4 linked regions of the Struthio camelus genome follow. The protein of the gene in region 1 purifies or fractionates together with the protein of each later gene. This does not show direct contact. Links are inferred from orthologs where the notes say so. Each region holds a gene or a part of one and is shown on either strand. Other genes may lie near its edges. The genes, in order: MAP3K7, CARD11, USP18 and RIPK2.

The links.
Region 2: the proteins of MAP3K7 (region 1) and CARD11 purify together in Homo sapiens (affinity purification with western blotting; 3 studies listed by BioGRID). This does not show direct contact. The link is inferred for Struthio camelus from reciprocal best matches to the Homo sapiens genes MAP3K7 and CARD11.
Region 3: the proteins of MAP3K7 (region 1) and USP18 purify together in Homo sapiens (affinity purification with western blotting; 4 studies listed by BioGRID, with this or other methods). This does not show direct contact. The link is inferred for Struthio camelus from reciprocal best matches to the Homo sapiens genes MAP3K7 and USP18.
Region 4: the proteins of MAP3K7 (region 1) and RIPK2 purify together in Homo sapiens (affinity purification with western blotting; 4 studies listed by BioGRID). This does not show direct contact. The link is inferred for Struthio camelus from reciprocal best matches to the Homo sapiens genes MAP3K7 and RIPK2.

Annotation. Positions count from the first base shown.
Region 1 is NC_090944.1:50,781,598-50,788,601, reverse strand, and holds the start of MAP3K7 (mitogen-activated protein kinase kinase kinase 7), read left to right. Parts: upstream 1-3,988; 5' UTR 3,989-4,055; coding exon 4,056-4,145; intron 4,146-7,004. UniProt on the Homo sapiens protein: Serine/threonine kinase which acts as an essential component of the MAP kinase signal transduction pathway. Plays an important role in the cascades of cellular responses evoked by changes in the environment.
Region 2 is NC_090956.1:5,763,287-5,770,973, forward strand, and holds the start of CARD11 (caspase recruitment domain-containing protein 11), read left to right. Parts: upstream 1-4,682; 5' UTR 4,683-4,947; coding exon 4,948-4,960; intron 4,961-7,687. UniProt on the Homo sapiens protein: Adapter protein that plays a key role in adaptive immune response by transducing the activation of NF-kappa-B downstream of T-cell receptor (TCR) and B-cell receptor (BCR) engagement.
Region 3 is NC_090942.1:70,950,602-70,957,892, forward strand, and holds the start of USP18 (ubl carboxyl-terminal hydrolase 18), read left to right. Parts: upstream 1-4,290; 5' UTR 4,291-4,685; intron 4,686-5,519; exon of another isoform or gene 5,520-5,632; intron 5,633-7,291. UniProt on the Homo sapiens protein: Interferon-induced ISG15-specific protease that plays a crucial role for maintaining a proper balance of ISG15-conjugated proteins in cells. Regulates protein ISGylation by efficiently cleaving ISG15 conjugates linked via isopeptide bonds.
Region 4 is NC_090943.1:151,164,885-151,172,755, reverse strand, and holds the start of RIPK2 (receptor-interacting serine/threonine-protein kinase 2), read left to right. Parts: upstream 1-4,871; 5' UTR 4,872-4,980; coding exon 4,981-5,168; intron 5,169-6,643; exon of another isoform or gene 6,644-6,783; intron 6,784-7,871.

The sequences.
Region 1 (7,004 bases):
GCAATGCAGTAAAGCAAGGCAGAATTGGTGATACGATTAAGATTCATAGTCAAATTTGACACGCACAAAATGTTGCAACCTGCTCCTGAGAAATCCTAACATAAGAGCTGAAGAGACTACATGAGGAGAGTGGATTAGCTAAGAACACCACCATGCTGAACAACAGAAGAACTTTTAGTGTCATCAGAGTGATCTGTCCTCGTGAGATCCTTACACTGCACCTGGACTGGAACAAGAAGTGTGCTTCTTTCAGGTCTCTCCCGATTGGTTTTGTACGGCACACATGCTTTATGGTGTGCCATTTATTTGTCATCACCAGAGACATGCTGTGGCCTCATACTCACAAGGCAATGCACAACACAGTTCATCCACCAGTCCTTGTCACTCCAGTCATCCAGGCTAATTCCCCCCCCCCCCGTTAACTCCTGCAGATTTTCTTTGTATAGCGTGCATCCTGACACTTTCCAACACACAGGTGAGACAAGGCTAATAACTCACAATCACATCTACAGCTGTTGTAAAGGTCTTTAATCACACTTGATTCCCATGAACTGAAATGACATAGCTTCCATATTTCAGTTTCATTTATCTCTAACATTTACATGACAATATTTGAGAAAGAAAATAAAGTCAGTCTTGCCAGAAACATGAACTATTCCTGTGCCTGAAGTTAAAAATGTTATCAAAACGGAACCTATCTCATTACAGGTATGCCCGCTGTTGAGACCACCCAACACCTTCCACTACTGCGTTCCAGGATCATTTTTCTGTTGCCTAAACTTAGATGTTTTAACCAACTGAACAAAAATTGTGTACGCTACATGTCTGACACAAGGTGAAATCTTTTGAAAGCAGAAATTACTTAGCTGTTTTGCTAAATTACGTTAGCACAAAACATGCTAGTTTGCTCTTCTTAAAAAAAAAAAAAAATCTATAACGTGGAAATTTTAACAGAGCTGGAACATGAAACCTGACAGCGGGTAGCCATGAAAATACAGATGTGTTTCTCCTCATGAAAATGTGACCGAACACTAAGCTGCAAGATTCTGTAAACTTTGTTTAAATTTTAGATAAGATACTCAGATGTTAAGGCTAAGCCTCAGGTCCATTAAGCTGGCCATGTAGACTTACTTTATATTTTTTAGGAGACCTACTGCATATCTTCTGAAAAATATAGTTCTTAAACCTGGTCCACGATGACAGGAGCTGTCAAAATATCTGCTGCAGTTATTTCAGTCTTGAGCATTTACTTCTGCTCTGACCATAGTATCCTGAGACTTCACAGAATCTTTTAGTCCTTAACTTCCTTGTAATGTAATTTATTTTCAGTTAGTGATATGCAGTTGAGAAATAGAATCTGGACTTCCTAAGTTCTAGGTTTTTCTTCCAAACACAAGAGCAGCTTTTCTCCCACATAAACACAGATTGTAAGGGATGCAGTTGGAGTGTTTTTGTTTTCCTTTACCTCTCAAATGTGTTTTTTGAATACATATTTAAAATGTTCTATTTTGGGAGCGTTCAAATTATACCTAGTCCTCAGACCCAACACACAGCTAATTAAGATTGTGTCAGTCAGAAAAGAAAAAGAAGTAACCATAAAAACGGCAACATCCTTGAAACCCTATCTGATCTTCACAACAGTGACATTTTGATAATGGCAATGATTTTGCTTTCGCTAGAGAGAGAACTCATTATTTTTGAGATACATTTCTACATCAATTCCTGAAAGGAAATGAACCTTACAAACAACTATAATTGGAATGCTCTCCTCTGTGCTCTTAATTCTTATCAACAACAACAAAATACAGGTAACAGCACCACTGTTAATAGCACCACTAAAATATAGAAGACAGCAACCGCCACTTGCTTGATATATGTCTTCAAGAGGCCTGTGAAACATAACATAAAGCCAAATGTTCAGTTAATTTTACTAGAGAACACCACCTGCCACCAAAAGTACCACTACTACTAGCCATCTTTCCAAAAAACATTAACGTTCTTCACCTTCCCCAGTATATAACATACGTGCCTAAATCTAAAAAAAAGCCTGAAAATGTTAGGAACTAATTAGGAACTAACATTAGGAACTAACTAGGTCTAAATGTTAGGAATCTGTTTTCAATCTGACCTACAGTTTCCCAGTACCTCACAAATCTATATTCGTGATCTAAAAACAAATATATTGTTTCCTCAGCACCTGAAACAGTGGCAGCAGATTATACAACAGTGATGTGCTTTTCCTTTAAGAAGGAAATACCCTGAAGTCCTCAGGTCCAGGTACAAACCTGGCCACTTGTGATTCCATGTCATGGTATGGCCACGATGTGCACTAACGGTGACTTTCACGGCCACGAAATTCAACTGTACACTTGGGTATAGCAAATGTTCATTCTGAATAATCCAGAGACTACGTATTTGGGCGAAAGCCATGGCCAACATCAATATCTAAATTAAATGCAACCTCTTAGAAACTAAGGCCCCTGGATAGTCGCATTCCTGGAGCAAGCATGTATTAAGGAGATTTTGGGTTACGCGGAACTTTCCCATTTCTAACAGAAGCCTCTTTAAATCTTTCTACACTGAACAACATACGAAAAATCAAAAAGCAAGAGGAATTCAGTACGTTCAGGACACGAGTCTGCTCCCATGCACACACAGATCAGTTGCACAACGTAATCACGCTGATCCAACCTGTTCTGGAGACTAGTCTCATCTTGCATGCGATGCAGAGTCGGCTGGCATATGCACCGTGACTGTTTGTCTGGGATTTCTGGATTGCTAGACGTTTGGAAATCCTGGTCAAATTACTTAGGATGCAAGAAAAAGGCAAGCGGGCAGCAGACAACCCAAAAGGACAAGCTATCACAAAAAAAAAAAAAAAAAAAAAGCAGTAGCTCTGGCGAAAAGGGCTTTTAGTTTAGCTTTTCTAGCAACACCCGAACCACCACGACGCGAGGCTGCTGCCCGTATTCCTCCTCGATCTTTCTCCTGGTTCATTGCTGACGCAACTTCTTCAGGCCAGCTCCGTAAAGCAGCTCTCTCTCGTTTACCAGACTTGGTATGAACATTCATTAGCATTTTAGTGCAGGAAGATTTGGGAAAGCTTACCAGATCTACTAAGATTACACACTATTAATAGTATTTTATAATAACATAACATTTTATATATAGTACTGGGGCTAAACATATCGGACGGAAGCCTGACGGCGCAGCTGTTTCAGTGCAACGCAGCGGCTCTCTCCACTGCCCCCCAGCACTGACTTCGCACCACGGGTTGTCCCCAAACACCCAGCCCCGGCCCATTTAGCACCAAGACCCAGAAAGCGTCGCCCAAGCCAAACGCACAAGCAGACACGGGCACTGGGGGGTAGGGAAGGGAAGGGCCTTAAGGTGGCCCGTCCGCTCCCAAAACAACCGCTGCGGGGCAAAGACCGAGGCCCGGCTCCGCCGCCGGCCGAGGGCCGCAAGACGAAGCGGCCGCCTCGCTGCGCGCTGCTGCCCTCGGCGGGGCGGAGCGGCGCCGAGGTGGGTGTCGCTGCCGCCGGGCCACGGCCCTCGCCGCGGCGGCCTGAGTAGCAGCCGCTGCCGCAGCGCCGCCCCGCCCCGGCCCGGCCCCGGCCCGGCCCGGCCCGCCGGCAGCAGCAGCAGGAAGCGGCGCTGATGTCGGCCGCGGCGCGGCGCTGAGCGGCTCCCCCACCCCCGCCCGCCGCCGCCGCCGCCGCCGCCGCCGGGGACGCGCAGCCCGGGCGACTCGCAGAGGCCGCGGCCTAGAGCAGCCGGCGCGGGATGCGGAGCGGGGCCGCCGCTGCCGCCGGCGGGGCCGCCGCCGCCCGCCGCCGCTGAGGCCCGCGGCCGCCGCGGATGCGGCCTCGCCCCGCTCGGCGGCCCAGGAGGCGCCTCGGCCCGGCCCGGCCCGGCCCGGCCCTCGGCCAGCAGCGGGCGGGCGGGCGGGAGGCGCCGGCGCGGCGGCGCCCCGTGTAGCCCCGCGGCGCGGCCCTGCCCTGCCGCGGCGCCCGCCGGCCTGCGCCCGGCCTGCCGCGGCCGAGCCAGGAGGGATGTCTTCTGCCGCCTCCGCGGACATGATCGAAACCCCGCCCGTCCTCAACTTCGAAGAAATCGACTACAAAGAGATCGAAGTGGAAGAGGTGAGTGAGCGAGGCCCGGCCCGGCCCGGCCCGGCGGCCGCGGCGCCTCCCCGCTCACCCACCCACCGAGCCACCTGCCCGGTGTTTTTCCTTCTCCTGGCGATGCTGCAGGGGCTGCCAGGGGCGGAGGTGCCGCGGAGCCTTAGTTCGGCCACGCGGGACACGGGGGCGAGGCGGTGTAACGTGGGGTTTTACTTACTCAGGAGGCTTTAATATGGGAGCAAACGCCGTTGTCACCGGGGGGGGGGGGGGTTTAATTCTGATTTTTTTTTTTCCCTTTTGAATCACTCTTTTTGTACTCCCCTTCTTTTTCCTTCTGCCATGCACCGGGAACGGTCATAGATCTAAAACCAGCATACTGCGGTTAATTATTTTCCTGCATCTAAGGCTATGTTAGGTGAAAGGACATATAGCTTTTTTTTTTTTTTAAATATAAGCTAGCGATGTGGCAGTGGTGGGTCTGTAACGTTTCATTTGTGACCTGCACATATTACACAGGAAGTGGCATTCAGTGGTCGTGTAGCAGAGTCTGAAGAAAGTATTCCTTCCTCTTATGTGGAAAGTTTCTTTGAGGCTAGCGTTGAATGAGTAAAGTACACCATTTCTAATGTACTTCTTGGCTGTCTGGATTTCCTGTGAGGGTAGGATGGAGGTGGTCAGAGCGTATCTTGCAGCTTTGTTAAAGGGCTCTGTACCTATACATCACGGTATTTATTAACTTTGTCTACCTCACAAGGTATTCTTACCAGGTGAGGAAAAACTCAACAGCAAGGTTTGCACTGCAGTAAAGTTGTTTCCCACAGGCCCATACTGAATTTGATGAGCTCGACTTGTAGAGTGTGGACATAACGAACATCCAAGACTGCTGAAACAGTCTTTGTGCTTTTGTTCTTAGGTTAACATCTTTGTCTCCCTCAGCAATAATTAACCTCCACTTTTTAAAAAACATTGCTGGGGAAGTGAATTTAGCTTTGTGCAGTAGCATTTAGATGTACAACAACCACATTATTGAAGCAGTTTGCAACGTATTGTATTGTTTATAATTATTGTGTTGTGCTCACACGGCCTTGAAGAGTTCACAGAACATAGACTTTGTAGTATTTCTGTAGAACGCTGGAGTACTTTCTGCTTTATTCAGATGCCGTCGTGGTAACTTCAGTTTTTAGCCACAGCAGACAGGGGAAATCCTCAGAAAATAAACTCTCTTCCAAAGGAGTGCCTTTTCCCCGTTGTGTAAACATGGCATTCATGATGGTTTTTAACTCTGTAGGTCCAACTGTTCCTCTTCCCTGTATGCATTTAACTGCTTTGAAGCAAGAGAATTTTATGGTGCTCCAGAACTGAAAGTATTTTTGCATTTGAGGTATACCGACGTTTGTATAACATTTAACAATACACAAGGATCACATCACATACTTTCGGAGAAATGGCTTGCTTTACCTGAAGAAGAAAATAAAGTTCATAGGAATTTAGAGATCATAAAAAGGTGCCCAGGGATGTCTCATAAAAGTGAGTAGCACATATAATATGTTACACATTGCACTTTGAACAAATGAAACACTATACAAATTTTTAATCCTCACAACACTCTTGGGAAGGCTGTTAGCAAGGATTATATTGCCGTTTTACTTGTAGGAAATGTGGAGCCACATAGTGTGTAATTGGTGTAACTAGAGTTTATCATTCTAAGGTTTAGGTTCTAAGGTTTCACAGTGCAGAACTTGACTGTGTCCTGCATGGCCACCAAGCACCCGCAGAGACAGGAACGTATGCACAAAAGCGTACGTGTAGTTGGTGCCCAAGCCATAATTTGTGTTTTTTTAATTAGATTGTTGCTTTATCCTCAAAGTAGCTTCTCTGCTGGAGATGGCCGCTCTTATGCAATAGAAGCTGGAGAGCTGTCGATAAAGTTTTACTTCATGAGAAAATTTGGCAGCTGCTGCACCATTTTGCTCTGTGTACCTGCCCTACCAGAAATTCTTACCAGGCAATGGCGATATGATTGTACTGAACGCAATCGAAACGTCATTGCACGGAGGAGGAAATAAGATCTACTTTGCAATAAAACAGGTGAACTGGAAACCGTGCTGTACCTTGCTTTTCTTGACTGTGGGTGTTAACCTCTTACGTGCCGTGCCTTTTGCAGGCCTACCAGACGTTGTAAATGAGGACTTGCTCTGCTCTTACGGCAGACCCAGAAATTTTATTTTTGAGTGGCTGCAAGGACTGAAAATGGCCAAATTTTAATATATTTTATGACACTTAGATATTTCAAAATGGAGTGTCAACGGATCTATACTGGAAACTCAAATGAGTGCTTGTATAATCATAGCTTTGCTGTTGTATTATCAAAGCAGTCTTGTCAGCAGATAGCAGTTCCACTCTGCCACTGGTTTATTAATAGATATTGAAGTTCTGGAATACTTGCAGGCCCTGAGTCCTTGCTAATAAATTTAAGATCCATAAGTGCACTTTCGTTTTGGTTTGGCTGAGCTCTGCTGGGTAATATCATGAATCTACCATATTCTGTTTGTGCTATCATGTGCATGACTATAATACAGGAAGTAGCACTGCAGGACAGTTATAAGTCAAGCATGTCTCCAACTTCAGGCTGCCTTTTCATTATTTAAAGTAAAGGTTGAAGTAAAACATAGAGATGATTATTACCAATCAGTCAGAGTCAAATCAAAATTATGTGACACAGTGGGAGCATGTTCAAAACTAGAAGGGGAAAGACAACTTAAAACTTGGGTTCAGCGAAACGTTCCCCACTGTACCATGCAAATTTTTGGTTGCGTGAATGTCGTCTTTTAGGTTTTCGTGTATTAGACAGACAAAGCATTAGAAACTGAGGAAATA
Region 2 (7,687 bases), on another chromosome or scaffold:
TTAAAGAACCCCTGCGGTGTGTCACTTTTTAAGATCAAGGGGCATTTTTGATGATAATGTCTAAAAAAGGCAGATGAACACTAACAGCTGCTTATCCACAGGCTGGTGAACTGAATAGGGAAAAACTGTTCTGGAAGTCAGATCTCCAGAGAGAAATGAAAAATTATGAGCATCTGTAAGTAAGAGTGATAGTCTCTAAGGATAGTTGAGCATGGTTGATAATATAAAATATGTAAAACGTGGAAAATATTTAATGCTTCTGTTTCTTTGCTCTGAAGAGCTGGAAGGGTTGTGTTAACAATATATACGGCGCTACTGAGCTTAGACATCCAGGAGAAATGCAGTATATTAATTCTCAGATCACTAGTTTGTGAAATGCGTTTCTGGTATCCAGAGGTTTGCAGGACTGTTACACTGATAAGGAGTCAAGGGCAGTCTCTTCATGGGCTGGGATTGCTCTCTTGGGGGAGAAAGGAATGGAAGCAGAGGAACAGCAGATTAAGAGCTGGACAGTTTAGTGTTTCTCTGCTTCCAGCTGCTGATTTTTTTCAGCTCTCCAGCTCCAACTATTTAAAGATATCTAGCAGTTTCATTTCTGAGTTATGGCCTACCATTCCGATCAACCACCTTTGCTGAAAGATGTTCTACAGGCAGTCATGGTGTACATGGAACATCTTCTACTGGATAAACACATTTAATGTAATGCCTATGGCACAGTCAGAAGGAGAATCTTTCGCTATAGATATAACATAACAACGTTATGGTCTGGAAGTAGCTAGGAGCAAAATACTTAAGAGGCCAGCAACATTGTAAAGGAACTTCTAAGATGATAAGTCTTCTCTGCAGTTTCATCACTCTAATAGAATGCATAATGTAATCTTGAAATTGTGCGGGCTTTTTATGCAAGGATTTCAAAGTAAAAGCCTGGAGGATGGAAAGGTACAGCAGTGTACAGCAGCATAAAAAGGCTTACAGTACACTTGTTATTCAAGTTTTACCATCAAGGCTCAGATCATGCAGAATTAGAACAATTAGAGCAATTGGAAGAAACTAAAAATGCTCTCCTTTCCTGAAGTCTCTTTGAAAGACAGTGACAGCAAATATACCACATGTGTCCCACCAGTTGAATTTCCATGTGAGGGGTAGTTCCCTTGCAGGCAGAGGTTCAATTTATTGTTTCCTGCACCATGCATATAGAAAGGAGACTGAGAAACTGTACGAAAAAAGTATATTGGTACCCCTTAACCTGGGCAGCCAGCTGAATTAAAAGTTCTGGTGGATTTTAGTTACACAAAGAAATAGACGACGGAGCCAGGTATCTCTTTGAGGCAATTCTGCTTACTTACAAAAAAAGAAAAATTTCCTGCTTCCCAGAATTGAATGGGAGTAAAATAACAAAAGACAGTTTAATCATACTTCTAGTATTTTTTTTTCAGCCAGACAGTTCAGCAAAGCTCTTTCTGTTCTTTTTCTCAATATCATGTTTCTAGTGCTCGTTTTAGATGTATTCCCAGTTTTCAACTCTTAATATATCTATTTCTGGATTGTTTCTTGTTGCTGCTCTCTGAAAGATATGTAGCTCTACCAGACAAGGTCCTAGCCCCCACATTTGCATCAGGAAACCGACTGATTCAAATTCTGCAGCAATTTGCCATATTCTTGTATTTTAGGTGGATCATCTGGATTTTCTTGAATTTTCTGGTTGCCTGACAGAACATAATTGTTTTCTTCACTTTTGATGTATCTACTGATGTGTGAAACACATCACCTCAGTCTACCAGCTTCAAGGAACTATAACCTAAATCATAACATTTTTATGTCTTGAGAGAGTTTTTAAAAACTGAAACCTAGCATTAAGATTATAAATTCTTATAAAAAAGATAGAAACTGAGTTATGTGTAACTTTTTGACTGATGACTGGGTCACAACTGGATAATCTCAGTTTACCAGGGAAGTCTTTAGGAGTAGGACAGTTTTAGGTCTTTTGAGTTTCAGTGAAAGGTTGTTCAAGCCTCATTGGATAATTGCTTTGTCTCTAAGGCTTCACTCTGGGCCCAGGGAAATCTGTGATCTTTAGAACAGGTATTGTACCTTTTGAAAGCTGTTTATAATCTACAGCATTAAGCAGAACAAAAGCAGAAAGAGCAACAGCTACTACCTAATTCCTTGCTTGACTCTGGAGGGCAGTTTTATAGTCTACTGGCTGATATTTTCCCATTTGCTGAAGAACTCAAGGACAGAAGGGAAAACCTAAAACAGGGACTTGGTGAGTTTTGACTTGAATTTCTAGCACATTCTTCCTTTCAGATTAGGAACTGTAGCTTGGTCTGTGCGTGGAAGATCTGTGGTTTTTAAATGGAAGTGAAGCTACAAAGCCTCCTGTCAGCAGAGCTAATTGCTCCGGTTGTGCTGCGAATGGTTCCTCAGTTGCATGCACAAATCAGCTTCCTCTATGAAAGCAGTAGAAAGCTGGGATAAGAAATAACTTATATCACTTTTGATGAAATAATTGTAGGCCACAATTCTTATATCAGTATTTCACTGTTTTTCTGCAAGGTATGGTTTTTCCCCAGTTGCGCTGGTCCTGTGTCAAAAACTGCAGATCCTCATCCATGTAGTTGTCACATGGATAAATTTCTGGCTGCTCAAAGCAGGAAGCTTTCCTTGCCCTTATCACATGCAGTGCACAGGTTTGTTCACAGGTGAATTCTGATAGAGTTGCACAAGAATATAAGTAGCACATAACAGTGTAGTCCTGATTAGGGGGGGAAAAAAAAACCCAGAAAGGGGATAACAGGTTCTCCTATTGCCCAGCAGAGACTAGGAGAGAGAAATTCCTGCCTTCCTTAGTTTTTGAGCTCTTGATTTAGAGAAACAGAATGCCCTTCAGAATCCTTTTCAGTGTCATCCTTAGAGCATCCTTAGGTCCCTTATCAATCCAAGAACAGGTGCAAACACAGGAAATCAGAGGGACCATAAGGGAAAATTAGAGCTGGGATTCCTCACACATTTTGCTCCCCTAGTAGATATATTCTGCCTTCTCCCAGCCTTCATGGGATTCAAGCTTTCAGTTCAGTAAGAACACTTTTAAGTGTTTCTGTAATAACACTTTGAGCCATGTATTTTCTCCCTGACATTTCTTCTTTTCACTATCATCTCACTTCCTCCATTATTTTCTTTGATGCTGCTGTATGTTTTGATAGTGTTTCCACTGTTCTTTTATACTTACTTTCCATTCGTTGTGTTTTCCTTTGTTCTCTAGCAACTATTTTTAACTTTCTTTTTCTCTCACTCCATTACCATCATCGTGCCTCTTCCCTTCTCACATTCCTCAGTTCTTTGAATCATTTCTCAAGTATGCTTATCATTCCTAGTCTTTATGCATTTTCTTCTCTAGTAGTTTTCCATATGAGATAAGTACACATACATGTGTGTGTATACGTGTGTATATACATGTGCATACATGGCTGCTTTCTTCCAACCACAGAGAGTCAGCCTCACATGCACACATCCCTGTGGATGCACATGTGACTCCTCAAGGGTTCTTCTGACTTCTCACACATTCAGGACCTATTATTGACTCTGGCGAGGCTTCACTTGAAGCCTCACCTCAGTCCACTCAGTGTGAAGGGCAAAACCTAGGGAGTAACTGGGAGAAGAGCAGTATCTGTGCTTTGTTTTCCTCTTGAGGGTGAACAGGCAATAGCAGAAGAAGAACCAGCAAGTGTGGCAGGTGCATCATGAGAGATTTGGGCCGAGGATCCCTGTGCAAGATGGCAGCAGCATTAAAGGTTGCTAGTGGTGGTGGTAAATACTGATCCAGCACGACTAGGAAACAGTAAGGGAAAGGACTGGTTTACTTTGCTCCCACTGGCTTGCCCGTGGTGGGAAGCTCTTATTTGTGACCTAGCAGGTAAATGTCCTCAGTGAGACCTACCAGTGTGTGGCCTGGAGGCCAGAGTCCAGCATTAAAGCTATACCAGATCTTAGAGTCCAAGATACTGCAGCTTATTTATGCCAATGAGGAGTCCACCCCCTTTGTAAAGTACATTGTTTAAAGTATCATGCAACTGTAAAATAATATTTATATGAAGTAAATCTTGTTGACTTCCCTTTCAACAACAACAGCAGCTGTTAATCAAATACATGTTTCCTCAAAAAGTCTTTGAAACCTTGGGAAACCCCAAAACCCCTTCTGCCTGAAACTGCTGTTCTTGAAACTGTCTCCTGTTCAGAGCACGGTCCTTTCTTTCTTTCTTCTTGCCCTCTCTCCAGCCAGCATGTGCAATGAGAAGCAAGGGCTGCTGCTTTGCGAGCAGCATAGCGGCCCTAAAGCTGGCATTCAACATGTCCCTTTGTGCCTGAGGGAAACATACTCTAAAAGCCTGAGGAACTAGAAGTAAGGGCAAGGACATAACCTCTTTTTTCTCTCTGAGCCAGTTTTTTGTGCTTGTGCTGCTGCTGACTTTGCCCTCTGCTCTTTCTGGGGAAGGGGCAGAAGCGCCTATTTATTTTCTTGCGGTGGTACTTCAGGGCTCTGCTATCACCTGCAAGCAGAGTCATTTGCAAACAGGCTGTATCGCTGGGGAGCAGAAATGTGTTTTTTTTAAACCTTAAGCAGATTTATAGTCTGGTTTCCTGTCAGATCTTTGCATTTTCCTTCCCCGCCCCTCCCAGGCTCTGACACACTTTTTCTTACTTTCTGTGTCGCTCTTTGCTCATTCTGACACCGGGGCGCTTGCATCCTTTATTCCTGATTCTTCCTAAACTTTTGGCACTTCAGAGGCAAAGGGAGTGTCTTGCTTTTTGTATTTCCTTTACTTTTCAACAGCTTCAGAGCACAGATAACCTCTCCAGGACTGCTGGAGAGAGACAGTGACAATTGCATGGAGGCGACGTAGGGAGTTTCAGCCTGCAGCAGCTGCAGCAAGGCAGCCCCGGTCACTCATGAGCACCCAAGGTAAGGAAAGCAGCTATCAAATCAGCTCCACCTTACTGCTGGTTAGGATAGCACCTGATTCTAATCATACCGGTTCCCCTTTCACCTTTCACTTTTTTTGTGTTCATTTTCAAGAGCACGTTTCTTTGAGAATGGTTATGTTAGCTCCTTCCTTGCACTCAACAGGTCTAATTGTACCTTGCACGCACAAATATTTAGAGCGCGGGGTTCAGTGAAGCAAACAGGCTGTAGCTGAAGGTGCACATATGTTTGCAAATAAAGTGTGCACTGGGAAGGAGAATGGAAATGGAGGTCTGGAGAGGGGAGATGAAAGGACTAATTGTGAGCAGTGGCCTCTAGGGAATTTCTGTTTCTACCCATGGTATGTTGTGCTCTACCTTTACTTTAAATCTCTTCACTGGGCATTTATGCTTTCTATCAAATAACAAAATCTTTCTCCTTTGTTTTTTTTTTCTCTTTGAATTTGTTCTTCTCACTTCCTTTAGTCTTCTCTCAACCCTGATGTATCTCTTACTGACTTTTCCACCATCTTTTTATGTCTATTTTTCATCAAGCATAATTCTGTATAACAAATGTTCCTCTTGCCCCTTTCTTTGCCTTCCCTCCCCCTCCTCTTTTTTGCCTGTGCAATAGACTGTACATCCTGCCCCATGTTCTTAATCTTTCTCTCCTTCCACCCTGTCATTTCCTTCTTCTCTGTCTTGTGTTCCCCTTTCCCATTGCTCCTCTGGCTTCTCACACGCACTACTTCCTGCCCCATCTCCTTTCTCGTGCACACAGCGTACATTGCTGCCCCGCAAAGTTAATTTTGCACACACAGTGGTGTTGTCTCTCTGCTGAATTGTCCTTGCACACACATGCTGCTTTCCTGTCTACCCTTTCTCTCTTGTACGCATGCAGGATTTGCTAAACAAGTTCCCATCCCAAAATACCAGACTCTTATACTTGCACAGCTTCCTTCCAATTCTCACACTCATATCTGGTCATTCACAACAAATAACCCCTGTCGTTCTGACTCTGTTTCTTTCTGTCTCATGAACAGAATTTTCTAACACCTCTAACACACCATAGCTTCCTTTCTACTTATAAATACAGCCATCTCTGACATAGTTCTTTCTATCGCTCCTCTTTCTGTCATCTCGCTCCTCCTTAAGTCCTTACCCCAATCTTTCAGCAGGTTTCTCCATCTCTTTTTGTCTTGATGTTGACTTCATATTGGAAGGAGCCACTGGTCTTAGTCTCTGCTGTCTTAGCATCCCCCCTGAGTACCTGCAGGGGAACTGGAGGAAGTGTTGCAGTCTTTCAGCTTCTCTTTCCTTCGCAGAATATGCAAGCTGCAGCAGAGTAAGAGCATAAGAGTGGGAGTGAGTGTGGATAGAGAAATGGGAGAGCACAATCCAAAATGTTTTTTGAAAATTGTAAAAATGGTTCTAGAGGAGATACTTTCTTCTAAGTGATTATAAGCCATTTTACTAGCCTAAATAAAGCCGCAGTCTGCCTGCCCCAATGCCGAACTTCTGCTCTGACACTGAGGTAGTTTTTGTCCTGCTGATTTGAAACTCCCTTGGAGTTTCAAATCTCAGAGGTAGAGGTTCTCTACAGTAATACTATGGTGGGAGTAACTTTGCTCCTAGGATCTGGAAACAGCTCATTTCTTCTATACTAGATATATTAGTGAGTCTCAAAGATCAAACATGGCTAAAAATTGCATCCAAGAACAATAGCTGGTATTATTGCCTGTTTAAGTTTGTAAGCTTTGAACCAGATACAGCAAAGAAATAAGTTTCTTTGATGAAGCCTTTTTGCCTCACATTCTGAAGCAGGACTATTGGGACTGAAGATTTATTTCTAAGAATGTTCTGATGTGGGCTTTTGAGGACTGAATAAGGATCACTTATTAAACTCAGTCGAATTAATAAGAGAATTATTATGTAGGCGAATTCTGTTAACAATCTACCCCATCCATCTTCTTAAAAATTGTTCATCTCCTTATGGGTGAAAGAAGCCTAAATTTTATGTTTGCAATTATAATATATCCTTTCTGATTCAGAGCTATCAAACTGTGGCCTTTGAGCTATGAACATTCTCTTCTGAATGCAGAAGCAGCTACATCATAATATCTTTGTCTTCTGGATCTTGTGAAAAGTCCACAAACCTAGAATGACAAAATAAAAGAGATGTTCATTTTATTCATACAGATCTAATATGACTCTTTCCTACTCTGTTACAACTCATCCTGTGATATGAAAAGTTCTTGTGTTTCTTTTAGTCATTCTGCAAAACTTGTATGATGATCTTGTGCTTTGTTTTTACAGTATTCTGTGCCCCCAGAACTGTCCCTGTTCTGATGCCTTGGTATGTCCCAAAAACAAACTGGCTGAGACAACTTCCCTCTCTTTTTCTCTCTCACTCTTTTTTTTTTTTTTTTCTCCATCCTCGTAATTTGCCACAGGTTGAGTTAAAAATTGTTGAAGCTGGGTTGTGGCAGTTGCAAGGGGACAAGGAGCCAGAGATAAATTCTTTTCACTCTAGTACCTTGGGTCTAGAGAGAGATTTCAGCTAGAAAGAACATGAACACCTTCCATCCTACCAAGCAAATTCCTGTACTGGGAGGTGCTCCCCCAGAAAAGAGATTCAGAACCTCATGTTAACTCCCTGTTCATATGCAGAGAGTTCCTTCCAAATAGATTTAGCTCTGAATTAAGAGAAAAATAAACTTTCAACATT
Region 3 (7,291 bases), on another chromosome or scaffold:
TTAATATTCATTCAAAGATAATTCAAAGTAGTGAGCAAAGTTCAGGGATTTACAGGATTCACAGCCTGCTAGGCAACGACAACCATTCTTGCCTAGAAAATCCCTCAGCAACCTTTTATCTAGATCTTCTTCAGGTGGAGTTTCCATCTCTGTTGGCAATACAACGTCCATACAGCCACGTTCCCAATACAACATCACATTCAACTTGTATACTCTGTATGTATTATATGCATTTAATTATCCAGATCAGTAAAATACTAAACTATGTATTTATGGAGTACCTGAAATGCCTCCGCTTAGGAAAACATCCCTATTCGAGACACACTTGATTATGTATTTCAGTGGAAGCAGTATGAATAAGCATTATTCAGTCCAGTGGGATTTAGGGTCTTAAACAGGTTCCCTTACAGTTCTGTCCTGAATTGCAACCAAAACCAATAAAAAGAGGAAATTTCATACATGAAACACAGTTAAACTAAAAGAACTTGTGACAAATCTTAACCGGTTCACCTATCTTGAGATTTAAACTTCTAAACCTTCTCTAGGTCTGCATGAATAAATTTTACAAAAAGATACATAAACAAAGAAGCGACAAAAAATGGCAGGTTAAGTGCTTGCTCTGTTCTTTGGCAAATTGCTGAAAGAGATGCAATGAAGAAGTAAAGTTATTGATCCAGTGTGGAGTACTTTATGGGTTCTGAATCACTGGGAGTGCAGTGCCTAACTCACTGGATGTTTGAAATGTCGCTCTGATCATTAATGTTATGGTTTATTTTATTTGAAAGGATATTTAGGAATCAGAGTCCCAAATCTCGCAGTAGTCAATTCACTCTTTGGAATGATTTGGAGATAACTTTAGAAGGGCTGCGGTTGTTATTAGAAGCTAGCAGCTTTTGTCAAAAGTGACCCCTGGATGCTTAGCAGACAGTGCATTTGGACCCAAACACTGAATCTTTCCCTTTTAGACATCCCTTTATCTGAGCACACTTCCTGGGCTTAGACTTCTGCGTGGGATGTCACAGCTGATTTCTACAGGCATCCAAAACCACTCTTTATTGTGTTATCCCTTTTTGAGAACAGCTTTGTCTGGCTTTGGACATGGTCTGCTTTCTGCTGCTACTCTGGGTCACAACCACCTCTTCAGCACGGGTTCTCTGAATTCTCTTCTCTGTTCATTATTGCCTTATCCAGTCCTCATAGCTTTGGCCCCCATTGGCTCTGCTTCAGAAGAGAGTCTGAACTCAGAACTCCACTGCCTCAGTCTTTTTCCTGAGGATGTTTGCATATTCTTAAGTGGATATATTAAACCAATTTGAAGAAAATGGAAGATTGGGATGTTATTTTAGGCACACAAGAGTAGCTTTAAAACCAGTTGCACAATGCTAATGTTATTAACTCACTGCAAATGGAGCTTCTGTGCCTAATGGAAGTGATATGGTTTATTGCCTGCTTTTAGAAAACAATGGAAACTAGCCACGCAACAGTAAAGCCTTACAGTATTCTTACAGAACCATATGGTCTTCTTAATCTAGTATTCTAGATTAAGAATCTAGAATATCTAATCTAGTATTCTAGATTAAGAATCACCTGTGTCACAGGCGACATTTCCAAAAGCTACCTCAGCTACACACTGCTTCACTAGATTCCACAAACCTGTCAGACTTAGCTTCTATTTAATCTTCAGTGCCAATCTGCACTCTGCTCAGCTGGTTTGACAGCTTCTAGGCAACTCATGGCTTAGCAGTTCTTTTTTTAACTGTTCTTCACTTCTATCAGGCAGATACCGTACAAGCTAGCCATCGAGAGGGAACTTTACATCACTAAATCTAAGTGGTTGCCCTGAAGCTCTGCCAGAGATAAGCCTAACCTCAGGAAAGATGCCAAGTTATTTGAGCTCACCTGCTCATGAGCCTCTGCAGATATCCACATTCGTCCAGGCTGACAGTCCAGGAAGGTTTTTGCTGCCACTGCTGCTGCCTTAGCTGAAGAGCGCTGGCTGCCAAGCAACTGCATTGCCTCCAACAGAGCTCTACATAACCCACCCGGAAGGGATGGCACTGGGACCTTTTCTGCGAAGACTGCAACAATAACAGCTCTGATGGGCTCCAGAGAGTCCCTCTGAAAGTCTCATCGGTTTCCTTCCCATGTTCAGTGAAACAGGGTGGGGGCTGCACAGATGTCCCTGACACAGGACAGGGAGTACACGCTATTCTGGCCAGTCATAATATGCTAGTATAACCCCTCCTGTAGAAGCAGCAGCCAAAGCGTTCTGACAAAGTATATATGACAAAGGAGAGGCAGTAAACATCCCTTACTACCATCGTCAGGGTTGCCTTCATCCTCGAAATCCTCCTCTGAACCCTAACTCTACCTTCCCTCATAATCAAAGGTCTGGCTCTTTAGTTCAAGGTGTTAGGGGCACAAACAGTATGCTAATAATAAGAATATATACGACACAAGGCTTTGAAAAAGCATTTTTGCTGCAGAAATTTTATAAAAGGACACCCACATTCAACTCCTACATTCCCTCTATAACTACTAAATGTCTATAAGATACGAGACACAGCCTGCAAGTTTGGGCTATGTAAGCTGTGGTTTTCCTCCCGACATACATTTTTCTGTAACATCCACAGAATTTAATAATAGCTGAAGGCACAGCACAGGTGAAATTCAGTTTGTCAGCAGCTCACAGAAGGGGCTTTTCTGAGGGGTAGAAGGGCACTCCAAAGACACCAGTGAGGTTGCAGGAAGCAAGGAAAGGGAGACAGGAAAAGCCATCAGGAACTCCAGATGGCCCGTGAAAGGAAGCAAAGTCTTTCCCCCACAAACCTCTCATGCACCATCAACCCAATCTTACAGGCAGAGAGAGCAAGGAAGAGGATGGTGAAGACGACAGTGATGGAAGGTAATGGAAGGACCTGTCCCCTAGGGACCTCCTGGTGGCAGCTGCAGGGAGAGGAAGTGCTGCTTCTGACTCAGTTGGAGCTCCTGGATAAATGCAGGAGGCAGCTGTGCCCTGCCAAATCACACAGGGACCTCTCTTCACCTGGGTGCCAGAGATTCAACCCACTTTACATACATAGCAGGACTCCCTACTTCCCTAAGCCATTCCCCAGCCAGCAGCACTCTGCAGGGGAGCAGGGACCAGGGCAGCATTGCTCACCTAAAGCATTTCCCACCTTCTCAGGAGCAAAGCTGGGCCCATGGCCATTCTCCAAAAAGCAGCATTCCCTTAAAGGGTGCTGCTGCCCTCCGTTCCTCCTCCTGATGCCCAGGAGCAACAGGAAGGGGAAAGTCTGGAAACCTGACACACGCACAGGGTGAGTGGCCACCTAACACACTTTTACGCTTCAGGAGGCACTTGACTTGCTGAGGCCAGAAATCACACAGCCCTGGCTGCTGTGGAGCTACATGGCGGGGGTATTTGTCCATCACTGTACAGTCATTCGTATATCCTGCTGCAGATGGCATTTTGAAACCCCACCATCAAGGATGGACGGAATTGATTAGAAGTCTAATCTACCAAGTGACTTTTTCTTTTGAAATTTGTAGGCCACTTATTTATTTTGGATTATTTCAAGTGACCTACTTCTAACTAGGTTGCTGTAATTATGAAAAAAGTCTTTTTTTTTAATGCTGAAAGTAACAAATGTCATGACTAACAAATGCATGGTCAAGAACACGCATGGTTTTGCATGATCAAGAACAAACATTAAGGTCCTGGCAGAGCCAGTATGTTGAAGTAATGAAATCATCTGAGAAAAGCTTTTTTTCTTTTTTTCTTTTTTCCTCCTTCCTCTCCTCTCCTACGGAGCCTAATTTCTCACTTCTCCATTTAAATCTCACTTTTGCTTCCGGCAAAGAGAAAACCGACCAGACCCGGCTGCGATATGCCAGGGAGGGGCGTGGCGGGGAACGCACCCTGCGAGCCCCTTATCTAGGCGACCGTTGGGCGCGACCGTTGGGCAGCGGCGGGAAGCCTTGGCGGGGCCCAACGGCCGAGCCGAGCCTCTACCTGCCGAGCGGGCGCCCCTCAAGCCCGGCACCTGCGCAGCTCCTCCCAGGCCTTTGGCCACCTTCCTGCGACAGCCCTTTACAGACAGGGGCATCTACCAGCTCGGCTTGTGGTTTTCCCCTCCTTCTCGGCCCGGTGCGAGCGCTTTACCTCTTCGGTTCTTGCAGCCGCGAGGCGCCGCGCCACCATGTCGCGCGCCGGCCGCGCTCAGCCCCGCTCGCTCGCCGCGGCCATGGACCGGGGAGACGTGAGGCGGCGGCTCGGCTCGGCTCGGCTCCCCCCAGCGGCGGCGGCGGCGGAGGGAGAGGCGGGCGGCGCTGCCCAGGCCCAGCCCGGCGTAGTTTCACTTTCTATGCCTCCCGCTCTGCGGAGTGGGAAATCAAAACTACGCGGCGAAGTGGGCGCTGCTGCCTTCTGACGCAGCCGGCAAGAAACGCCGCGGAGCTTGGGACCGCACTCGGGCGAGGAGCGTGGCCGCGGCGGCAGGCTGCCCGCTGGCTCCCCGCCTCCTCGCTGCGCAGGAGAGCGCCGGGCGGCGGCGGCGGCGCCGAGCCTGCCTGGCTGCGGAGGGTCTGTTCGCGCTTGCGGTGGCCACCTCGGGGTCTGCCGGGGCTTCAGGCGTTCGTGGTCCTCCGGGAGTGTGTGAGAAGCCCTGTCGACGGACCGTCAGGTAATAGGGGCCACATCGTGCCATTAAAATACCTACTTGCGCAGTGTCCTCCGAGCTGTTGTATCGCATTGGTTTGGTGATTCGTGTTTCTCCTAGCTGGTGAAAGTGACTCTCGTTTTGAGCGGATGGAATCCGATGGGTTGTTGGACGCTGCAATCTAGGGAGTGGAAATAATTCGTGACTTTAGTGGTTGAAGTGGTCTTTTGTCTGTTTAAACAGAATTATCCTGTAATGAAAAGGAGGAAAAAAAAAAGGAGAGGAGGGAGAAAAATTGGGGCTGAACTAACACGTACTTCACCAGAAAACTTAAAATCCTCGTTCCGAGGAGGAAAGCACGGAGGTGAAAGGCTAGAGCACTGCCTGCCAGCTTACACTGCAGAGTCAGTCTCTTAGGGAAGAGCCTCAGGGCTGCCATTTCTTCTCCTCCTGGTCTCTGGGTCACTCTTTTTTGTCCTACCTCCCGTCCCAGCACAGTCATCTCCACGGCCTGGACCTCGACCTCAACATGATGGCGGGGTTTAAAAAGAAGTGATGGTGGTGGGAAAGAATGGTGGCCACTGGGTGGCCAGGGGCATCAGGGACTGCCAAGCGCCTGGGCTGCTGCGTAGCTGGGGTGACATTAAGGCTGAGGGGGGCCGCGATACATGAGCGTGAAGGGACCAAGGGGATTTGTCGCTAGAGTCTGGTCTCCTGGGATGACATAAGGGCTGTGGAGCAGAGCCCTAGTAGGAGGGAGTGCCCTGGGCTTGGAGGGAGGAGGGTAGGTGAGAAGGCTGGTTGCTTAGAAGACGTAGGATATGATGGAGGAACTACTGCTACCCTTTCTTTGCCTAGAGTTAGCGTGTAGCTTGGCCGAGGCAGCAGCACTGAGTCATGTCGCTAATCAGCAAAGGAAACTGAGGAGGGACTCTGCTCTTTCAGTGCTCTCCTGAGAGGATAAGTCAGTGGTAAGAGGGCAGCCTACTCCTCCCTTCTTATGCTCACTCACCTGTTTGTTTATACATTTATGCTGGGTAAAGGAAGGTCAAGTGCAAATCTTAAAAATACTGTGTTTTTTCTGACCAAAATGAGGCAGTTCCGTGCAAGGGTTAGAAAGTTCTAGTCATGTCCTGCTCCTAAACCAGAGTTCCTGTTAGCTCACTGCCTGGGTGTGTGGAGGAGAGTTTCATCAAGCCAGAGACCCCAGATTCTCTCACCTCTGCATCCCTCTGAACCTCCCAGCCCTAATGTCTTTCTACCCAAGTTTCCCAAGTCACCCAAAGCCTCTTAGCCCTGCACTCGCTCATGCATCCCACCCTTAATCCTACCTCTCCTGCCGAAGCCTCTCTCTTCCAAGTTTTCCTCATCCCCAGCACGTTCATAGCTGCTGTTTAGCTATTCCTGCTCTGCCCTTCTGTCCCTCTCTTTTCTGTTTCCTCCAGTATCCCCACCAGCTGTGAGCGTTACTGCCACCCTTTTGCTGACATTACACCAACTAAACCCACTAGCTCTTGCCATGCAAGCAAAGGTCGGCTCCTGCTATGGCTGAACTATCAGTAACTTGAAGGCCTGGGTAAATCACTTTTTGGGAAAGAAGCAGTATCAGGCTCTTGCAATATTTTGCAGAAGGGGAAATCAAACCCAGTTTCCACTTTCTTGAGTTGCTGTTCTGATCACTGGTCTTGAACGTAAAAAGCGATGCTCTTGAAACTAGCTCTGAATGATACAGTTTCTTTTTTTCCCCCCTCCCAGATAAAACTCAGCAAATTCAACAATATTTAGTGAATCTGAGTGTATCAAACAGGTCTGAGTTCAAAAGTAGTCTTGATAAAGTACAGTTGGAGACAAGTATACTTAAGGTCAAAATTATTAATTGCAAAAACCCATTAATTTCTAGTTTTTTGATAAATTCCTCAGAAATTCTGAAATGTAACATTACTAGGCACAGTTAACCTGGAAAAAATATGCTTTTAAAGCAAATAATTTCTTTTCATGAAAGGTTTCTGCCGGGTTTTTTTGCTTATTTCCTAGTGACTTTCCTTCATTCTTTCAGTATTTGGAATGGCCTCAGGTTCCTTTTAAAAGCTGTTCAATATTTTTAAAATATAAATTCCTCACCATATTTTTTGTTTTTTTTTTTGGTTTCCCCTCCCGTGAATGTTTTCCTAAAGATATCCTTCTTTTCTGATTCTGTTTCCCTGTTGAAGGTGGACTTTCAAAAACCCTCCCTTTTTATTTAATTGCATTCTAACATTTGTCTTGTGTTTTTGCTTCCATATATTACTTTTTTTTTTTCTTTAAAGAGCCAGTAGTTGAATCCTAAGAGGCTGTAATGAAGTAATGGTCCTTTCAGCACTCCCCTTAAAATCAAGGAGTTTAATGGTTCCCTTCTTAAACAGTCCCTTTGCCTGTGATTATTTGAAGGAGCTTATACAGGAAATGACATTCAAGTTCTTAGCCTCCTTACATTTATAGATCAGAATCCAAAATACCACAGTAGAGCTGTAATTAAAGTGTTTAAAACAACGCAGAGAGCCCAACCAGAAAACAAATAAACACTTATCGGTTTGAAAGGTCTGAGAAGGTGAAATTTGCCCTTTTGAATATTTAAGCTGCTTTGGGTTATA
Region 4 (7,871 bases), on another chromosome or scaffold:
CTCCAGTGAGGTGATACATCCAGATAGAGCAGCTGGGAAATACTTATTGCTCCCAAAACACAGTCATAGCCTAAGTAGTTGACACAGTCTTCCAGTTTTGATAGTCTTCTGCCTACTGAGATCAAAGAGGAGCATTCAAGTGTCTCCTTTGCTCTTCATTGTAACTCCTGCTGTTACATTAAGTGTTATCAAGCCACAGTCTATGTAACAGACAAACAAACAAGGACAAAGGACCCGAGCCACGCAGTCAGTGTATACTACATTTTGGCAACTGGGTACAAAACAGAAAGATACCCTTTCTAAAGAACACGAAACAAAGAGAAACTACATTAAAAAGTAAGTATTTGGAAACATGACCCAGATTAATTTAGGGAAAAAATTACTGCTCTTGGGGCAGGAGTAAAGAAGTTGTAGAGATTACATCATAAAACCATAGCTTTTCAAAATCAGAGCATCTTGCCTTGACAAAAAAAACAAAACGTTCACCTACCTGTGCTGTTGTGGAAAGGCAGTTAACCTGGCGAATTTTAAAAACACAACTGAAATTTTGTGTGACACCCATAGAAATGAACGTACTAAAATTCGGCTGGATGGAGGGACAAGACTGCAAAAAATTACTTCAGAAACATGAGTTTATCAGTAAAGACATGCATGCAGTATGTACGCTCATCCTTACATATCTGTATAAATAGGGGAGCTGTGTATTTCAGGCCTATCTTGCAAATGGCAACAACCAGTTCCATAGCTGCATGCTCCTCAGAAAAACAAACACATAAACATTTCTGTATTTTATAGCCTCTTCTCAATATCTCTGTGAATATATCTACAGCAGAAATCTAACAGGTCTTTCCAGTTTATGCTGTCCATAGAGAAGAATGTCAGGAAAGAGATTGCACCTCAGTCTGGAAAACATGAGGAATTTTAATTATCATTTTGTTATCTTTTATACAGAGATACAAGGTGTGAAAAGCATTTTACAAGTCCACAGGTACTGAAACACAGTAGCTGCACTCCTTGATTTCACAACCTGTAAACTAAGCTCATCAATGTAACTGTTGTGCTTTCAAAATCAGTTTTGCCAAATACTTCCTAAATTCAAGAGAGAGCGATTTTTTTTCATTCATTGCACTAACAATCAAGGCATGAGGAACATCACAAAAAATGTACTGTTGCTCAGGGTCTTCACTTATCTCATTTATATGTGGACCTTCAGAAATTCCTATGTGAAGGGAAGAATCAGACCAAAGACTTCTCAATCAGAATGAAAAGGTCAATGGGGGAGTACTCATGGAGGATATGAGCAAGTGAAAAGTTGAAAGAAGAAACAACAAGTCAGCTGTTTATCTGCTACACAGTCCAAGCTTTAGTTTTATCAAAAGCTTAATTTACCTTGAGGATGCCCAAATGAGTAGGGATTCTGCCTACAGCCATATGTGAAGGACCTTGAACCTTCTCTTTTAGTACTAAGGAGTACTTTTTATTATTATGTCCATTAGAGAACAAGCAATGTCAAAGGTACAGTGTGTTGTACCAGGTCATTTATCACCTGATACAGTCAGACAGATGACATATTATAGATTACATCACCTATTCATTCAAATGTGGCAGACTAAATTAGGCAAATAAAGAAGTATTGCATAAAAAACATTAAAAGGTGATTAACAGATTAGCAGTTGTTTTTATTAGTATTCTATGCATCTTCTCTATTGCCAACTGCACATTTTCAAATCACAGTTTAATAGACCTGTTTTGCTAAAGGTCTTTGCAATAACAAGCAAAGCTGTCCTGATTTGGTCTGACAGGCAGCCCCAGGAACAGGAAGAAAAATAAATCTACTTGTACATCCCGCTCCTCATGCTCAGGCTCTGGGACCTAGATTCTGACTTTCTGATTTGTGTTCTTTCTTTATGTCAGGATTACTCAGATATAAATAATCAAGTTAATTTGACCGACCAGAAAGTCTGCTTGCTCACTGCTTTAGAACTTCCTACAGATTTAGGGAGTCTCCTCAGTGAGACTCCAAAAAACTGAAGTGGAAAATGACAATGCTTTGAGATTTAAATACGCTCAAGCTTCTTCTAGAAGAGCACTGTATCCCAATAAATACATTGCACAGGAAAGCACAAACTAGTACAGCCACAAGCAGCTTGACTAGACACTATCTCTAGCAGCGTCTGGCCCATACATCTGATCTGATCACCCTTCTCTTCTTGTAACAATCACACATTTGGGAAGTCCACCACATATTCTTCACTGACAAGAGTTATACTTCCTGTAGGAATGAAGTTTGAGGTGGCACCACTGTTGCATAAACAGATATGGGGAGTTTAACATGCGAGTGCGTAATTTCCTCAGTCCTCATTGTACTGAAGAAGTAGAAACTAATCTGAGCCTGCCATTTAGTTACTGACTACCCTTAAACCCCTTACTGATTTTTCTGGCACGTTGCTTTGCACTTATTACAGAAAGGGATCCTGCTTACTTTTAGAGACACCAAAGCGGTTTTAGGCAAAATCAGGAAGTCTGGGAACATTAAAGTTTAGATGTTTTGTATGTGATAAATAGCTGAAATAAGTCTTGTAGTAATGCAGAAAAACAGTTATGAAAGGTTTTTTCTCACAAAATAATTAAAAATGAGTGATTATAAAGAAAATCAACTACACATACTATGAGCGTAACACAAGCCTTTCAGCTATGAAGCTATGAACCAATTCACAGTTGGGAACAGAGTCAACAGGTATTGTTACACGGCCTTCCTGTATGCCACTACAGTGTGTAAACAGACTTGACTTAAAACCTTAATTATGCAGTTACTCTAAAAATCAGAATATCAAATATAATACTTTAATTGACAGTGTGTTATCTTTGACTTTTACAACCTTAACAGTTTCAGCAGAATCTCAAAGGAATATTTTAAAGCTTTGATCTGCACTGAAATTATTTTGTATTTTAGCAGCACAATTTATGCCACACACCTAGAACTATGAAACCTTAAACCAGCTATGATACCATTTAAGTTATCTGGCAGAATACCTTTCAAAATACTAAAGAAAAAAAGGGGGTTTCCAGATGCAGTAACATTTTGTTCTAATTTTCCCTTTCTAACCCCTCTTTGTCTTGGGAATTTCAAGCACCAGCTTATCTTTCCCGGAACTTGTGAGCCAGTGCGGCAGCAAAACATGCAGCTCCCCACCGTGCTATGGTGACGGAGCTCAAATCAAATGCAGAGTTCCTCTTCCCTTTCCAACCTCACGAGTAAGTCCATGTCTTCAAACTCTGGCATAATTCCTAAAGATCCAAAGCAGCAACTAACTACTTATGCCTGTTACTCGTCCTGTTTTCCTTTACTTTGATGAAAATGAAGTCAATTCTGCTTCCACTCCAGTAGCAGAAACTGATCCACTGTTGTATGAAAACAATGTCATACAGCTTGAGTTGATCCAAAACCCGTTGTTGTCAATAGAAATGGGCAGGATCTTTCAAAATAGTGGAAGACATATAAAACCTCCAAGTCACAAAAACTCTCCACATTTTATAATAAAACAAATAAGTTAAAAAGATTACAGTAATATTTTTGGCACTATTACTGCTCTGCCACTTTTAAAATCACAAACCTTTTCTTTTTTTTAGTAATTTAAAATTATAAATAAACAGGAAATCAGCAAAAACATGTGGCAGCAAGATGTGCAATTAACTTTCTGTACAGTGTCTTACAATTTTCAGTACAGGGACCTTTATAAGCCCTTAATGGGATATACCATAAATATGTCTTTACACAGTGTTTCTGTAGTACGTGCTTACCTTTGGTGTCCACCGCATCTTATTTTCTTTAGGTAAGAAAAACTTTCTTATACAACAAAGTTGAAGCAGGGTAACAAGTAACAGTACTCACATGCTAGATGGAGGGAGAGGCATATACATCGAATGGATGTGTAAACCTTGTGTGCCATAATGCCTAGAGATTACTCTGCGGCGAAACCACCTAGTGTATTTGAAGGATAGAGACTGAAATGAAAGCTGAGCGCAGAATAATTCTAGACTTCTTTATATGACTAATATAATGTTACCACTGTTGCAGCATGGGATACATATCCTCCAAAATACAAGAAAACTGGGGAAAGACAGCATAGATTTGCCACTACCTGAAGTAAAGAGGCTGGGACCGAGACGGAGGACCAGAAAAAAAAAACTGTTAGGCCTTAAAACGCCGTTGACGTATTGCACAACGCCACAGGCTGAAAATCTGGCTTCTCTCCCTCGTCCTCCGCTCCCTACCCGCTCCTGGGAGAGGAGAGGGGGGGAAACGGCCTCCAGGCGGCCCGAGGGGAGAGCTGAGGCCCGCGCCCCGCGCCCCCCGCTCCGGCCTCGGCTCGGAGGCGCCTCGCCGCGCCGCCAGGCCGGGGCTCGGCTCGGGGAGGCGCAGGGCCTCGGCACACCTCCTGCGCGGCCCCCGAGCCCAGCTATCGGCTCGCCGGGCGCATCGGCCCGGGCGCCGCCGGGCTGCCCGTTTCCTCCTTCTGGAAAACTCTCGGAATGCTCTTCTGCGGGCGGAGGGCGCTACCCTCCGACACCCGGCGCGGGGCGCCCCCGCAGGGGCGGCGCGACCTGCCCGCCCTCCTCCTCTATCGGAAAAAGTGAGGAGACACCGGGAAGTGCACGAATGAGCGGCGGCGGCGCGGGGGGCGCCGCGCACCTCCCTCCGGCCGCGGCAGGAGCCCTCTCGCCGCCCCCTCCGGGCAGCCGGGAGCCGGGCCGGGCCGGGCCGCTCTGGCTGCGGCGGGGCGGGGCGGGGCGGGGCGGACGGCGAGGACCTGGCCCCGGCCCCGGCCCCAGCCCCAGCCCCGGTCCCGGCCTCGGCGCCGGGCGCGGCGGGGTGTTGCGTCGCGCCGCGTCAGGTCGGGTCGGGTCGGGTCGGGTCGGGTCGGGTGGCGCCTCCCCCGCGGGGCCGTGGAGTCGCGCCTCCCGCGGCGCAGTGCGAGGATGAGCGGCGGGGAGGGTGGCGGCCAGGCGGGCGCCATCAGCTGCGCCCTGCCCTCCATCCCCTCCAACAAGCTGCCGGACCTGCGCTTCCTCAGCCGCGGCGCCTACGGCACCGTCTCCGCCGCTCGCCACGCCGACTGGCGGGTCCCGGTGGCCCTCAAGAGCCTGCAGGGGCCGCTGCTCGAGAGGTACCGGCGGGGGCAGGGGCCGCGGCCCCGCGTCGGCTGCTGCGAAGCGGTGGCGTTGTCCACCCGCCCACCCGTGGGCGAGCCGGGGAGGGGAGGGCCCGTGTGGCGGAGCTCTGCGAGCCGGGGGGGGCCGTGTGGCGGAGCTTCGCGAGCCGTGGCGGAGCCGGGGGGGGGCCGTGTGGCGGAGCGAGTTCCGCGAGCTGTGGCAGAGCCGGGGTGGGGGGGGTCCGTGTGGCGGAGCGAGCTCCGCGAGCCGTGGCGGAGCCGGGGTGGGGGGGGTCCGTGTGGCGGAGCGAGCTCCGCGAGCCGTGGCGGAGCCGGGGGGCGGGGGGGTCCGTGTGGCGGAGCTCCGCGGAGCCGGGGGGGGGGGTCCGTGTGGCGGAGCGAGCTCCGCGAGCCGTGGCGGAGCCGGGGGGCGGGGGGGTCCGTGTGGCGGAGCGAGCTCCGCGAGCCGTGGCGGGGGCGGGGGGGTCCGTGTGGCGGAGCGAGCTCCGCGAGCCGTGGTGGAGCCGGGGTGGGGGGGTCCGTGTGGCGGAGCTCCGCGGAGCCGGGGGGGGGGGTCCGTGTGGCGGAGCGAGCTCCGCGAGCCGTGGCGGAGCCGGGGGGCGGGGGGGTCCGTGTGGCGGAGCGAGCTCCGCGAGCCGTGGCGGAGCCGGGGGGCGGGGGGGTCCGTGTGGCGGAGCTCCGCGAGCCGTGGTGGAGCCGGGGTGGGGGGGTCCGTGTGGCGGAGCGAGCTCCGCGAGCCGTGGCGGAGCCCGGGGGGGGGTATAGAGTATATGGAATATGTAGTGTAGTGCATAGAATATATTACTGTGTGCGCTGCCGAGTGCAGGGACCCAGGATAAGCTTCTCCAAGACAAAACATAATAGATTTTTGCCCCAGATCGCAGGTACTGAGACAAGCTGGTTGGGAATGGTAGGTGTGTAGGGCTCTTGCCTACAGGTGATATCTCCCTTAAGCTCTGCAGCTCAGCCGTCGTGTTCCCCGCTCTTCTGGGCACCAGGTTGTAGCCTGTTTGCCGCAGGAGTTGTCGTCCTAAATAAGGATGCAGCAGGCTGTAGTTTTCTTCCACCTCTGCCTCCTTCACTCTCTACAGTGCCTCTTTTTTAACCAGGTCGATGCCAGTTCATCTTAGGCTGTTGAAGACTATAAACTTGCCCCTTTTTTTCTTATCTAGGTGACTTTCGCCTCCATGAACTCATTTCTTTGGATCTAGTGTTAGGTGTTCAGGCAGAATAACTTCACTGAAGTACAGATAGCCATGTCTATGTGTGCGTTTGTGTGTGTATGTGTACACCAGAGGGACAGGGGGGTGCATATACCTGCGTGTGTGTATATACATGCATGTAAAAACTTTTCAACTTTCCTCAATGTTTTTTCTTTATATTAAATTATCTGCTTCAATCCCCGCTTATCCTGAATATAGCGCTTCTCCTTTCAAATTGATTGGGAAAGAACAGTCAATAGTATTTCTAGCCTTGCCAGAATTTAGATCAGTGTGACATGAAATCCAGGAAGTTTTGACAAAGGGGGAAACTGAGGCAGTCAGAACAACTCAGCCCTCAGCCGTGGATCATGCAGAGCTCGGAAATGCTACGAGAATAACCTAAAGCTGTAAGAAATGCTGCGCCTGAGTTTTTGTGACAAGAAAATTGTCAGTGGTGTTGTAGGTAGCGTAAGAGTTTGGTCTGTAAGTGCTGTCAGGAAAAGGGAAGTTCACAGTGCAGTTAACTCCCCAAACAGGAAGCCTGCGCTGTGCATCCCAGAATTTGGTCTGTGCGACCTGCTGAGCAGCAGAGCCTGTTTGGAAGCTGTTGTGGGCTTGCACTAGCTTTGGCATTACTCAATGCTCTTCCGCTATGGAGCGGAGAAAGGTGAACTAATTTATAGATCCAGGAACAACCCTCGGTATGTTGCAACTTGTTTCCCAGTTACAGCAGAATCTCATGCAGATCTGCCTCATAGCCTGGGAAAACCCCTACTTTCTCTAAGCTAGTGTTTTTTGGAAGGAGAGAGTTACATCCCTGGCTTTCCTTGAGGCCTGCCTTTTCCCTCAGATCATTTTCTAGAGTTTCCTGTAACAGGAGGGTTTTTTTTTTTCTCCATCATGAAGATGTTTTGCTTTCTATTTCCTACATATTGAAAGCAATTTCACATACCTCTAAATTTTAAATTCTTCTGTCATAAAAGCAGCAAGCTTTAGTTTTCTAGGCTTCCTTTTTTCCCCCATGTACTCTGAAGGCCTTCTGATTGTGAGGGCTAGGTCTGCACTGACGGGTCCAGACAGACTTGAACTCTTCTGTCGATCCAGCGCAGGGCACAGACTAAAGCCAGCTCTCATCTGGGAGCGGTATGGCCGTATTAATATGGCAGTGCACTGAGCAAATCTTGATCGGCGTTGACTGTTAGCCTGTGTGCAGCCCTGCACACCTGATGGCTTCTGAATCAGGCTGCCTGGTCAGTCTTAGATGGGCTGCAATAGTCCAGCATTTGGATATCCCAGTCATGCACTTGTATCTGTACCAGGCTCCACTGATGTAAAAGCTAAATCTTTTTTTCTTAGAATTATCTTTCTTAGTCCGAGTATCCTCAGTATTAATAACCTGTTTGTTCAAGAACTTTTGAGACATAAAACGTGTCAAAAAATTGTCTTCGTTATTCTTAGGAACAGAAGTGTACTCTTACTTTGTTTTAAATAAAAT